Saccharomyces cerevisiae S288C: one gene and its partners. Changing the gene in region 3 together with the main gene of any one other region gives a genetic interaction. Each region holds a gene or a part of one and is shown on either strand. Other genes may lie near its edges.

What was found.
Region 1: mutations in ADI1 (region 3) and SIL1 together harm fitness more than expected from each alone (negative genetic interaction), as found in Saccharomyces cerevisiae (2 studies listed by BioGRID).
Region 2: mutations in ADI1 (region 3) and CIS1 together harm fitness more than expected from each alone (negative genetic interaction), as found in Saccharomyces cerevisiae (2 studies listed by BioGRID).
Region 4: mutations in ADI1 (region 3) and PIR5 together harm fitness more than expected from each alone (negative genetic interaction), as found in Saccharomyces cerevisiae (2 studies listed by BioGRID).

What each region holds. Positions count from the first base shown.
Region 1 is NC_001147.6:265,757-269,382, forward strand, and holds SIL1 (Sil1p), read right to left. Parts: upstream 1,774-3,626; coding exon 508-1,773; downstream 1-507. Other genes in the region: OPI10 (Opi10p), read left to right, coding at 1-413; GAS5 (1,3-beta-glucanosyltransferase), read left to right, coding at 2,431-3,626. UniProt on the Saccharomyces cerevisiae protein: Required for protein translocation and folding in the endoplasmic reticulum (ER). Functions as a nucleotide exchange factor for the ER lumenal chaperone KAR2.
Region 2 is NC_001144.5:821,709-824,280, forward strand, and holds CIS1 (Cis1p), read right to left. Parts: upstream 885-2,572; coding exon 579-884; downstream 1-578. Other genes in the region: YLR345W (bifunctional fructose-2,6-bisphosphate 2-phosphatase/6-phosphofructo-2-kinase), read left to right, coding at 1-332; KAP95 (karyopherin beta), read right to left, coding at 2,120-2,572. UniProt on the Saccharomyces cerevisiae protein: Mitochondrial protein that is involved in citrinin resistance.
Region 3 is NC_001145.3:282,165-285,141, reverse strand, and holds ADI1 (acireductone dioxygenase (Ni2+-requiring)), read right to left. Parts: upstream 1,041-2,977; coding exon 501-1,040; downstream 1-500. Other genes in the region: ANY1 (Any1p), read right to left, coding at 1-42; YMR008C-A (uncharacterized protein), read left to right, coding at 1,594-2,061; PLB1 (lysophospholipase), read left to right, coding at 2,558-2,977. UniProt on the Saccharomyces cerevisiae protein: Catalyzes 2 different reactions between oxygen and the acireductone 1,2-dihydroxy-3-keto-5-methylthiopentene (DHK-MTPene) depending upon the metal bound in the active site.
Region 4 is NC_001142.9:117,384-120,441, reverse strand, and holds PIR5 (beta-1,3-glucan linked protein), read left to right. Parts: upstream 1-1,616; coding exon 1,617-2,480; downstream 2,481-3,058. Other genes in the region: FMP33 (Fmp33p), read right to left, coding at 2,655-3,058.

The DNA of each region.
Region 1 (3,626 bases), on a different chromosome or scaffold from region 3:
ATGGTTCGGGGGCCGCTGATCCGTTTACTGACACCAATGGAAGTAGCAGTAATAACATATCAGAATTGATTATTGGTATTTCCATTGAGCCTCGAGAACAAGGAATGATGAAATTAGAAGAGTGGAAGGCCAGCATGAATGCCGAAGCACAAAAGAACAACTCATTGATCTTGTCAAGACCTAACTTAGGAATAATTCGAAATATTACCACGGCAGGGCAGTTGGCACAAGTTTACCCTTCATTGACACAAGAATTGGCCGCCAAAATCGTTCAGCATGCATATAACTATTTATCAGGGTTCCTAGATGCTCAGGGAAACGTGCCCATCAAGAGGTTTGATACATGGTGGGACAAATTTAGAAATAGACTGGCCAACGACGGGACGTTTTTGGATGAAGTAACTAAAAATTAGACACGGATATATAATATATCTCTAATAAGATTCACGAAATATTAATTGAAAAAAATATTATTAATATTAAACTATATATGCAATGACAGTGAAATCAGAGTTCATCTCTGAAATTTTTTATTCTATGAGCCATGGGGTTGCCAAAGATCAAGTGTCTGCTGTCGATAAGTTTCTTATCAAATGAGTCTTGTTCAGTATCTCTCTCTTGGAGCCCATTGTCCAAGTTAGATTGCCTGGCTTTACATTGTTGCGCTAACCAATTCAAAAACCCTTTGTTGATCGTGATGTCACTTTTGAAAATTTTCTTCAAGTTGTAAAGGGTGTCAAAAAACGTTCTTGTATGTAGTTCATCTATACTTTTGTTCTGGACCATCTCTTGGAACTCGTTTGCCCACTCTTGCAGATTTGACGACCAATTCTCAGCATTTCTTTTGAACAAAATTAGATTTGTATCGTCATTTTCGTACATGTCGGCCTTCAAAATTTTGCTGATCAACTCCAGGACTTTTATTTGTAACTGTTTGTCCTTGTTGTTTCTTTCATATACATTTTGTAAAACAACCGTAGAGTATATAGGAAGATCTTCGGATGTGACAGGTAATTCGTTTAAAATGGACAAGTATCTTTTTATTAGGATATTAGAGGATCTGTGGTTAGAATCATTCAAATTTGACAGAGCGGCCATGATTTTGCTTTTAAAATTTGGAAAACTTTCATTAATGAACTCGACTACAGGAGGATTGTTTCTCAAGCAGCTGGTAATGACTCTAGTACTGAGCTCTCTCAATGTTAACGGCAAATTTTCATTGAGACTAAGGTTGGCCAAGAGGGCGAATTCATGGGTAATAATTTTGTAGCCGTGCTTGTAATCATGCGCAAATTCCATTATTCTATCAAAACTATCCTCCAATCTGGCAATGTCCTGTGAAGATAAAGTCGGGTTAGAATCTATGATGTTTCTCATTTCTTTGAAATCACTGGAAAATTCATAGTCACCAGGCGATGCTTTCATGTCTTCTGAAGATACAATTAACTCATGGCTACCATTATCACCGACATTCTTCTCATCATTTAGTTTTGCCTCTTTTAAACCTGTGTCCATGTTTATTCTAATGTCCAAACCACCGGGGAGTTCTTGACCTGGCAGTATGGGCTGCCAATCGTGTCTTGGTTCAAATATCTTAGGATAGCAACGATTATCAACGCAGATCGAATTCCCTGAAATTTCAAGTTCTTTAAGATCTTCTGCAGATATGATTTCGCCTCCAGATGGCACTGAGTGTATGGATGAATGCAATATTGTACTCGCCACTAATTTCGAAGATAGGGCGCTCAAAATTATGGGAAGAATCCGGACCATTCTAAGTTTGCGTTCTTGGAAGTGATATTCAATATCGAGAACTTCCAGCGATGCGAAAACTAGTCTATTATAGTTGCTAATGTGTGCTCTATCATTTACGTGGCCTTTTCACATAGTCTGGTCTTTCTTAATTATCACAATTCCGTTACCCGAAATCTAATCTCGTGTTTAGCTTCGATCTGCGGACGTTACTTCTAACGTCCAGAACACTTCACCCGCTATTTACGTTTTGATCTAGTTGCGGCCTCCAAACCTGCAGATGAATCGTTCATTACATTCTTGCTGCCACTAGTTGGCCGCTGCGTATACAACAAGAAATATACTATGCATTTATGTAACGCGCTTTAGTCAGTAGCCTCAGTAATGCCTTTTCTAAGGTCAGTATGTCAATATCTCTCGGGTGAACCCCAACATTGTTGTTCTTTCTTCGTTGTTTCTCTCTCTTATCATCTTCTGTGTCTTTGCTTTCTTTTGTTCACAATTTCTCGAGAAAAAAAACTCCGCAGGAAATTTTTCACTTTTATTTTGCTTATACTATAAATAGGAAGGTCCCTGAACTGATTTGTTGACAGTGTTGCATTTCGTATATAAAAGTAAACAGTGGGCTGTAACAAACATATTATATATCACTCGCTACACACACAGCTCTAAATAGCTATGTTACTACGTTCTCTTACAAGTGCCTTCGTTTTAAGTGCTGGTTTGGCTCAGGCTGCTAGCAGCAGTAACAGTTCCACACCATCCATTGAAATTAAAGGCAATGCATTTTTTAATTCGGAATCAGGTGAAAGGTTTTATATCCGTGGTGTTGATTACCAGCCTGGTGGTTCTTCTAACTTGACTGATCCCTTAGCAGACGCATCTGTCTGTGACAGAGACGTCCCCGTTCTGAAAGATCTAGGGATAAATACTGTCAGAGTTTATACTGTGGATAACTCGCAAGATCATTCCCATTGTATGAAACTATTGCAGGAGAACGGTATATACTTGATCCTGGATGTCAATACCCCCACGAGTGCTATTTCTCGTTACGATCCAGCCTGCTCCTATAACGCTGACTACTTACAAAATGTCTTTGCCACCATTGATACCTTTGCTGATTACGACAATGTTCTAGGTTTTTTCGCTGGTAACGAGGTCATCAATAGTGTTAATACTACCAACACTGCTACTTATGTCAAGGCAGTGGTCAGGGACATGAAGAAATACATCAAGGCTAGAAAATACAGACAAATTCCGGTAGGTTACTCGGCTGCTGATATCGTCGCTAACAGACAATTGGCTGCTGAATACTTTAACTGTGGTGATGAAGCTGACGCTAGAATCGACATGTTTGGTGTTAATGACTATTCTTGGTGTGGTGAATCTTCATTTGTGGTATCGGGTTATTCCACCAAGATGAAGCTATATCAAGATTACTCCGTTCCTGTCTTCTTAAGTGAATTTGGTTGTAACCAAGTCAAGAGCTCTCGTCCATTCACAGAAATTGAAGCTATCTATTCCACTCAAATGTCTTCTGTATTCTCCGGTGGGCTAGTCTACGAATATTCCAATGAAACTAACAATTACGGGCTCGTTCAAATTGATGGTGACAAGGTCACTAAATTGACAGATTTTGAAAACTTGAAAAATGAATACAGCAAAGTATCCAACCCAGAAGGCAATGGTGGTTACAGTACTTCCAACAACTATTCTACATGTCCTGATTATGAAAAGGGTGTCTGGGAAGCTAATAACACTTTGCCTGCTATGCCAAGTGCTGCTTCTGCTTACTTCACATCTGGAGCAGGTTCTCCTATGGGAACCGGAATCGCCACCCAACAAAGTTGTGATGCTAAGGACGATGACGACGA
Region 2 (2,572 bases), on a different chromosome or scaffold from region 3:
CTGATCTTACTGATCAACAGATAATGGACAAATTTCCATCAGAATATAAAGAATCATTAAAAGACCCATATCATTTTCGATTCCCTAGGGCGGAATCTTACCATGACTTAGCCGTTCGTATGGAACCTTTACTATTAGAAATGGAGCATACGAGCAAGGACATTCTCATCATTGCACATGAGTCAACATTAAGAGTATTATATGGCTATTTAATGGCTTGCACCTGCGTAGAGTTACCAAATCTAAATTTCACAAGAGACAAATTAGTTGAAATTTCATTCAGCCCTTTCTGTAATACTGTAGAGTTACTGAACATTCCTTTAACTAGCTAATATACTGGAGTTGCATCGTTGATGTGTATTATCTATATTCAAAATAGTTATTTTTATGTTTAAGAAAGGATTAAGAACAATTGAAAAAAAATTACCATTAGCAACGAATATTAAATTGTAAATTATTTAGAGATATTTTTCTATAATATGCTCGCCTACCATTCTCTTTTATACAATATTTAGGTTTTACCTGGAGGCTAAAATGATATGAGGGGACGATAGCTTAACATGATTGTGACACAAACTTTAAAAAAGGCTTTCAGTTGAAGAGTTTTCTTCCGCTATAGTCTCCAATGCTATCTTACTTTTCTTATTACGTTTATGTCTACCTTTCATATCATTTCTTGTAAGCAACTCCTGCATTTCCGCTTCCTGGGCAGCCTTGAGTAAATCATATCTGGTAATTTTATCAGGTTTATTGCTCACATATCTGCCTGAACCAACAACGTTGATATATTTCCATGGACATGCTACCCACTCTGCAATAGTGGAAGCTGAATTGATTGTGTTTTTTGAAACTAACCCGATGGGACAATTACTGATCGATTGCATTATTAAAGGTGATAAATAATCCTTTGTTATTTGTGCCCCTTAAAATTCATATACACTTTATGTTTAATTCGACAGGTATAACAGAAAGAAACAAGGAAAACAATGCAATTAATCATTAACTGCACCAACTTTTATATGAATATATTGTGCTACATGTCTTAATTAGTCCTCTGTGAATGAGCATCACAAAGAATCACGAGGAAAAGATTGATTACTTAATATTGATAGGAATCAGCCGCGGAAATGGAAATCTTGGTAATATAATTTTAATGCGGCACGCTGAAAATTGATGGCGGCCTGCTAGGAGCCCTATTGATTCCGCGGAAATAGGCGGATTATTACAAACGTTGAGCATTCAGCAGGTGCGGCTGTGCCTTTTCACTTTCAGCTAAGATGTTTGCAAGCAAGAATTAACAGATAAGCCGCTTCGCTAGTAACGCAACTCATTGTGTTTTTAATGGAAGCTAAGGATGGTTGAAATTATGGGTACCCTGAGATAAGATTATTAACTATGATGTAAGTATTAATCATTATAATAAGGGGTACCTGCTCATTCGCATTACCATACATTGACTATTAACGAGCAGAAAGTTTTTGGAAGTTTTGCAGATGAAGTGCATGTTTGATAATTTGAATATGCGGATTTCCTTATTCAAAACTTTCTTTATGCATAGAGCTAATTAGGTTTGAGTTAAGGAAAAAAATCTATCATAAGTGTCTTGAGGTATTTACTATAATGTATACGGGAAATATTAGGTGTGATAGGCTCTAGGAACGAATATTAATATTGGGGGGGGGAAACTGGAATGAAATTAAACAAAAGCAAAAAAATCTAAAAGAAGAAAAAAAGGAGAGAGAGAGAGAGAGAGAGAGAGAGAGAGAGAGAGAGAGAGAGAGAGAGAGAGAGAGAGAGATGAGGGTTATTGATAATATAATATAATAATAAAAGAGAAGATAGTAGAAAAGGAAGAAAGAAAAAAAAAAATTAAGATGTACTTTAATAAAAAGAGGGAAATTCTAAAAAGTGCGACTGGAATTAGAAGAATGCAGGTATTTTGTTTTCTCTCCTATGACGGAGAAGGTAACAAAATCATAAAGGTAAAATAACAAATTAATTATGATCAAAGAGAAATGCCCTTTGTAAACCGTGGTTTGTAAATGCGTTGGTAACTGCAGCAGATGTTAAGAAACAAAGATGGAAAAGAACCAAAATCAGCTTGTAAGTTCTATCGTAATTATAAGGATAATTGACGCTTCTGTTGCTCTCTAGCCCATCTTGCTGTATCTTTTGTGGCTTGACTGAACAATTGGCCACTCCTAGTTCTTTTAATGTAATCAATAACCCAGTCTTGTCCATAAAATTGTTTGATTGAGCCGTCTGGAAACATCGCTGCTATATCACCAATCAATCCGACTGCTGCTCTTGAGGTAGCATCCTCACTGTACAGCTGAGGATCTTCTGCAACTTGTGCAATGAACTGGAATATAGTACCAACATAAGGGAACAGAGCTTCAGGTTTATCATGAAGACCCGCTACTATACCCACATAAGCATCTAGTACTGCTTCTAGTACTTTTATTTGATAATCAAGGGCTTCTAATGTGCCGTTTTCCGGCTTCGTGTTTTGGGCAGCAACACACAACGCCATGATGTCATTCAAGTAGGGAATAAAATCAGCACCTATATT
Region 3 (2,977 bases):
GTCCCTTATTAAAGTAGCATCTAACGGACCTGTTGTTGACATTCTCTAGCTTTATCTGTGGAAAGTATTAATTTTTTATTGAATTTTATAAAGAAAGGAATGCAACAGTATGCGTATAGTTTTTATAAAAAAAATAGGGCGCTGAAACCAAATCAAAATATCAAATGTCGTATCGTTTTTGGCTTTCAGGATTGTTGATGTTTATAAATAGTGATAAGGCTTTGCTTTTTGATATTACGACTATGGCCTATACTTTTCACTATTCTCCATGGAAGAAGTATGCAAATAAATGGAGGAAAAGATGAATACTTGACCAACATCTAAATATAAAAATAATACGAAAATCGTTCAAACTTCCGGTGTTTCTTTTTCCACTTTTGGTGTTTTTTTCTTTTCCTATTTCACAGACTAAAAATCATTCTTGACGGGGAAGTCACCCTACGCTACTTTAAAGATATAAAGAAGTAAGACATTAAGAATAATGTATTATGATGCAGTATTTAGTACTGATTGATCAGGGCAATGTAGTCCTTGCGTACAGGCAATGAATCAGCCTGATTTGACCTGTTGATAGCTTGCCATTTGGGCTCGTCCTTAAACAGTCTCAAGGCCTTGATGTGGTTGCTAGTTGTCAAGGTGAAACGATGATAGATGCCTGGTGGAAGAATCAGTAAATCACCTGACTCTACCAAACACCTAATCCAGTTCTCTGGTGTGGAAGCATCCCTGACGTCAAAGTATCCAGCACCCTCGAGACAGTATCTTATTTCTTCGTCTTCATGTAAATGCTCTTGGTAGAATGTTGCTAGTTTTTCATTAAACTCTGCTTCACTTTTGAAGGAACCTTCGCAGATGTTGACCACATCTCTATTTTTATATTCTCTTTGCCTAGCAATTTCATTCACTTCTTCCTCATTTGCACAGTATTTATAAATCACTCCTAACTTGGCTAATTCATCCAGGGAAAGTTCTGTTCCAGAATTGTGGGGTGCGCGATAATCGGAGTCAACCTTGTTGTCATGAATATATACCTTAACCATTCTAACTTTTGACCTTTTTACGACCTTTTTTAGTGTCTTGTTTGGTGGTTATTGTTTTTTTTGATCTGCAGATGCCACCCTCTTTGTTCTTTTATACTTTGATGTTTTTCAATATGCATATTTCGGTGTTAGCGACTCTACTGTGGCGTCGCCCTGTCGAGCGGCTCTTACAAGGGCCCTTTCAGTCGTCAATGCAAAGAAAACTGGCAGAAATTACCTTCATTGCGCCGTTATGCTATCTTGCCTCTCTCCTGTTATTTAGAAGGCATCTCACTATCTAGACAGACAATACGACTTGCGCACATGTGAATCATTAACAAGATCGTGATTATCGCTACTTCTGCATAGTTTATAGGGAGAAAAAGAGAAGGAAAAAATTGTGTCAAAAACGGGCCAGAATATAAAAAAAAAATATTAATTGAAGAGTAATATGGACTATCGTAAAATACTTGTACTGAACGAGCAGTTAGTCTTGATCTAGAAGAGATGAAAATACCGGTGGGCGGTCGTTCAATCTTCAGCAATTGCAATTTTTTTTACGCATGCAAGATATATGTATGACTTACTCGAGCAAAAATTTTTTGTGCGGGAAATCAAATTCGCTTCAGCCTATTATTTACGCACCGGCAAAGCCCTGAACAATAGCAAGACTCCGATATTTCAGCGAAAGCATTCTTTGCCTGCGTGGCTTTCGTCCGCGGTTATTATTACTGCGCCTGTTAGCAACGACGGAAGTCACTCGATTCTATTTGCTCGTAAAACTCTAAGAATGATAATGCCTATGTTTAGTCCGCTTTTCAACAGAAGTCCTGACGATTGCCCTTCTCATCTGACCGCTACCCATATCTTTCAGCAATTCAGCGCTATGCTGGATTACGGACAGAGTACAAAGGAAGCCACTAACAAGCGCAGGTTAATAAAGGGTTCTGACCTACTTGTTGCCTTGGATCGGAATTGTATTCCTTCAGCCCCCTTTGTCCCCGAAATTGCCCTGCGTAAAAGCGGCGCAGTGGGGTCCTAACGTTTATTCCTTCCAAAGCTTTCTCATGCCACATAGTGCTAAAATAAGTGGACGCATGGGTTTCCTGCACGGACTTCTTCAAAGCGACCTAAAAAGTCCGTTTCTAACTTCGCCTTTCCTCATTATATGCGGTTTACGCCCTTATCTATAAAGGGAAATAACCTCATACAGTAACATGTCCGCTTATTCCCGCATATTTTTCTCAGTTAAGCAACATTCATTTACGTCTCCTATTTTTGCTTAGAAGATGACTTGGTTACTTTATTTTCTTCTAACTGCTTAGGTAAACTACATCATCTAATATATAAAGACGCTTCCACCACATTTAACCAACGGAAACGTCTCTTCGCTGTAAGGTTCTACATTTATTAGGTTATACTAACTAATCAATTCTTCGTTCTTTTCTTAACATTTCTCTCTTTTTTCGTTCATATAACGTAAATTACACGAAGCTATCCATCCTAAGGGCAAACGGGAAAGAAAATAAAACAAAACCATGAAGTTGCAGAGTTTGTTGGTTTCTGCTGCAGTTTTGACTTCTCTAACAGAGAACGTTAACGCTTGGTCACCAAATAACAGTTACGTCCCTGCGAACGTAACCTGTGATGATGATATTAACTTAGTCAGAGAAGCATCTGGTTTGTCAGATAACGAAACAGAATGGCTGAAAAAAAGAGATGCATACACCAAGGAGGCTTTGCATTCTTTTTTGAATAGGGCCACTTCGAATTTCAGTGACACTTCCTTGCTATCCACTCTTTTTGGTAGCAACTCTTCCAATATGCCTAAGATTGCCGTCGCCTGTTCTGGTGGTGGTTACCGTGCCATGTTGTCTGGTGCTGGTATGCTTGCTGCTATGGACAATCGTACTGATGGCGCAAATGAGCATGGTCTTGGTGGGCTGCTGCAAGGTGCA
Region 4 (3,058 bases), on a different chromosome or scaffold from region 3:
TTATTATTGTACTAGGGTTAGAAAAGGAATATGAGTTTCTTATTGATATTTTTTTGAGCTTTGAGGTAAAAGGAAGGACATAATCGAAATTGATTGTCGTTAGACTTCAAGTGTTCCTTTTATATCTCGAGGATTCCTACCATTCAAGCTAATAAATTTTTCACCAACCATTCCTTTTTTAGGATCTTTCTTATTTTGACCAAAATCTAAATTTAGCTCAAAATGTGGTGTTCCGCTTGAGAAAACACTCATTTGTACTATTAGTTTTCCTGATCTGGTAAAGAAATGAAAAATTAGGCTGAGTTGGCGACTTATCACTACAGACGGAAAGCCATTAATGAGCTTTTTTGTCTTTAATAATTTCCGAAATAGGAAATAGTAAGATCACTTAATATGAATAACTCCCAAGAATTACCATTTACGGCCCCTTCCAATAGAGGTGGGAAATGTGTATGTGCATTGTGAGGGTCGCCTAATTGGGCAGAAGGGGGGAGAAATGAGCGTGGCAAAGCAGTGAGATTGACTCGTTTTGCGGCCAGCAACGTGTTGGACATGGCGGACCTGCCTGCATTAATTATAGCACAAAGCCTATCATTCATCGCATCCTTGTGCAAGTTCTAAGTTCACCTCCATATGGATTAGCGGCCAGGATAATGGAAAAAATTTACCATACTTTTTTTTGCAGAATAGATCAACAGTTTGGTGCATTTGTTCCTTCTTGTTTTTTTTTTGCTTGTTTTTACAATTTTTACTGTTTTACTATGAACTGATGGCTGGTATAGTGACAGAGTTTCTACTTTTTTGCTACTTAGTAGACTACTATACTAACTAGGACATATGTTGTTCGTAACGGTAAATGCACTTAAAGTATTTTACTGTTTTTAATTGGATTTGCTTGTTGTAGTAATTTTTGGACTGATTTCGGTCAATCGCTATTTTAATTTTTACTGTTCCTTGCATCTTTTACTAATCCGAAATTAGCTCAGCTCAAATTTGTAGTTTACTAAAGTACGCTTTTCCTAAAAGACGAAAACACAAATATAGTGAAGACATTATCCGACTTTTTTGCCAAAAAGGGACAAAGCACGAAATTAAGTAAAACTGTGGTAAAAACTACAGAGGAACGTCGCATTGGCTAGCAAGGATCTATTGTTACTCTATCAAAACCCCTTTGCCAAGCTCACATATCCTATTTGCCGTTCCTGAAGGCATCCAACTAGGCTTGATATCATCTTACTTATATAGTGGGCTTCTGCTCCTTAACCTGATCAATTTCACCTCTAATTTTGTAGGATTCCTGAGAAAATACAGAAATTCTAACGTTCCTCTGATATATTACGAGTGAATCATTGGGTATATATAAGAGAAGTGGAGTAACAAAAGCTGTAGAAAGTAAGTTACACAGAGTCACAAAAGAATATCGACTTTTTGTGCAAGAAAATTCGACTGTTTTGACTCACAAAATTATTCTTTTTGCGAAAGAGTGGGGAAACGAAAACAGTTAAAAGAGTAAAATAACTTGTATACATATACTTATCTTCTTGTTTCGAAATTTCTGTTTAGTCTCGATTTTTTAATTCTATACAACTTACTGAAGAAGTGAACACCGCCCCAATATGCATTACAAGAAAGCATTTCTAGCATCTCTATTAAGTAGTATTGCGCTAACTGCGTACGCTCCACCTGAACCCTGGGCAACTTTAACTCCAAGCTCTAAAATGGATGGTGGCACAACAGAGTACCGGACCTCATTCGGTCTCGCTGTTATACCTTTCACCGTTACTGAAAGTAAGGTCAAAAGAAACGTCATTTCACAAATTAATGACGGTCAAGTGCAAGTAACGACACAAAAATTACCTCATCCAGTTTCGCAAATTGGAGACGGCCAAATACAAGTTACAACGCAGAAGGTGCCTCCAGTAGTGTCACATATTGTGTCACAAATAGGCGATGGTCAATTACAAATAACTACAGCTAAAAATGTTGTCACAAAGTCCACAATTGCTGTTCCAAGTAAAACTGTAACTGCGACAGCAACTTCAACCGCAACTGCTGTTTCTCAGATTCATGATGGTCAAGTGCAAGTTACTATTTCTTCAGCCAGTAGTAGTTCTGTGCTTTCCAAGAGTAAGTTAGAGCCAACAAAGAAACCAAATAATGAAAAAGTGATCAAGGTGCAAGCCTGTAAAAGTTCTGGCACCTTGGCAATAACGTTACAAGGAGGTGTTCTTATTGACTCCAGTGGTAGAATTGGATCGATAGTAGCAAACAGACAGTTCCAATTTGATGGTCCACCTCCACAGGCGGGCGCTATTTACGCTGGCGGCTGGTCGATAACGAAGCATGGCACTTTAGCTATTGGTGATAATGACGTGTTTTACCAATGTCTGTCGGGCACTTTCTATAACCTTTACGATCAGTCTATCGGGGGCCAGTGCAATCCCGTTCATTTACAAACAGTTGGTCTCGTCGATTGTTGAATCACCAACATTATAATCTTGCAGGTCTTGATTGTACTTCAAAAATATAACTAAAATAATAGTATAAAAGTAAGTCTGTCTTACTATGTATGGGGCGCGTTATAATTTTACGTATTCACAAACGAGTTTTCATTTACTTCATCGTTTTTATTTTCGGAGATGTTGCCTTCTGCATTACTCAAAGCGCACTCCAGCTTTTTCCAGCTGTTTCATCCTAAGTTTAAGTGCCATATAAATCAACGGTGGGAACCCTAAAACACTAACGACACTTCCCTTATAAAGAATGGATTTTTTGCCTAAGGTGGAATTGCCTATTAGGCTCGAAAGTTGAATGAGAAACCCCCAAACAATCGAAAATTGAGAGACATCACTGTACGTCAAAGAATGAAGTACTTTATGGAGGTCACTCTTTTGTAAGTCAAGCTCTTTCTCTTGATAGGTATCAAGTGCTGGCTTGAATATTCTATTGGGAGCGTCATGGACTATATTTACAATGTCGTCTTCTGCGATGGCATGGGGATCTTCTTGCTCTTTGGACTTATTCAAGCTATTTGATTCTAGATATAGGCATGCCAGAC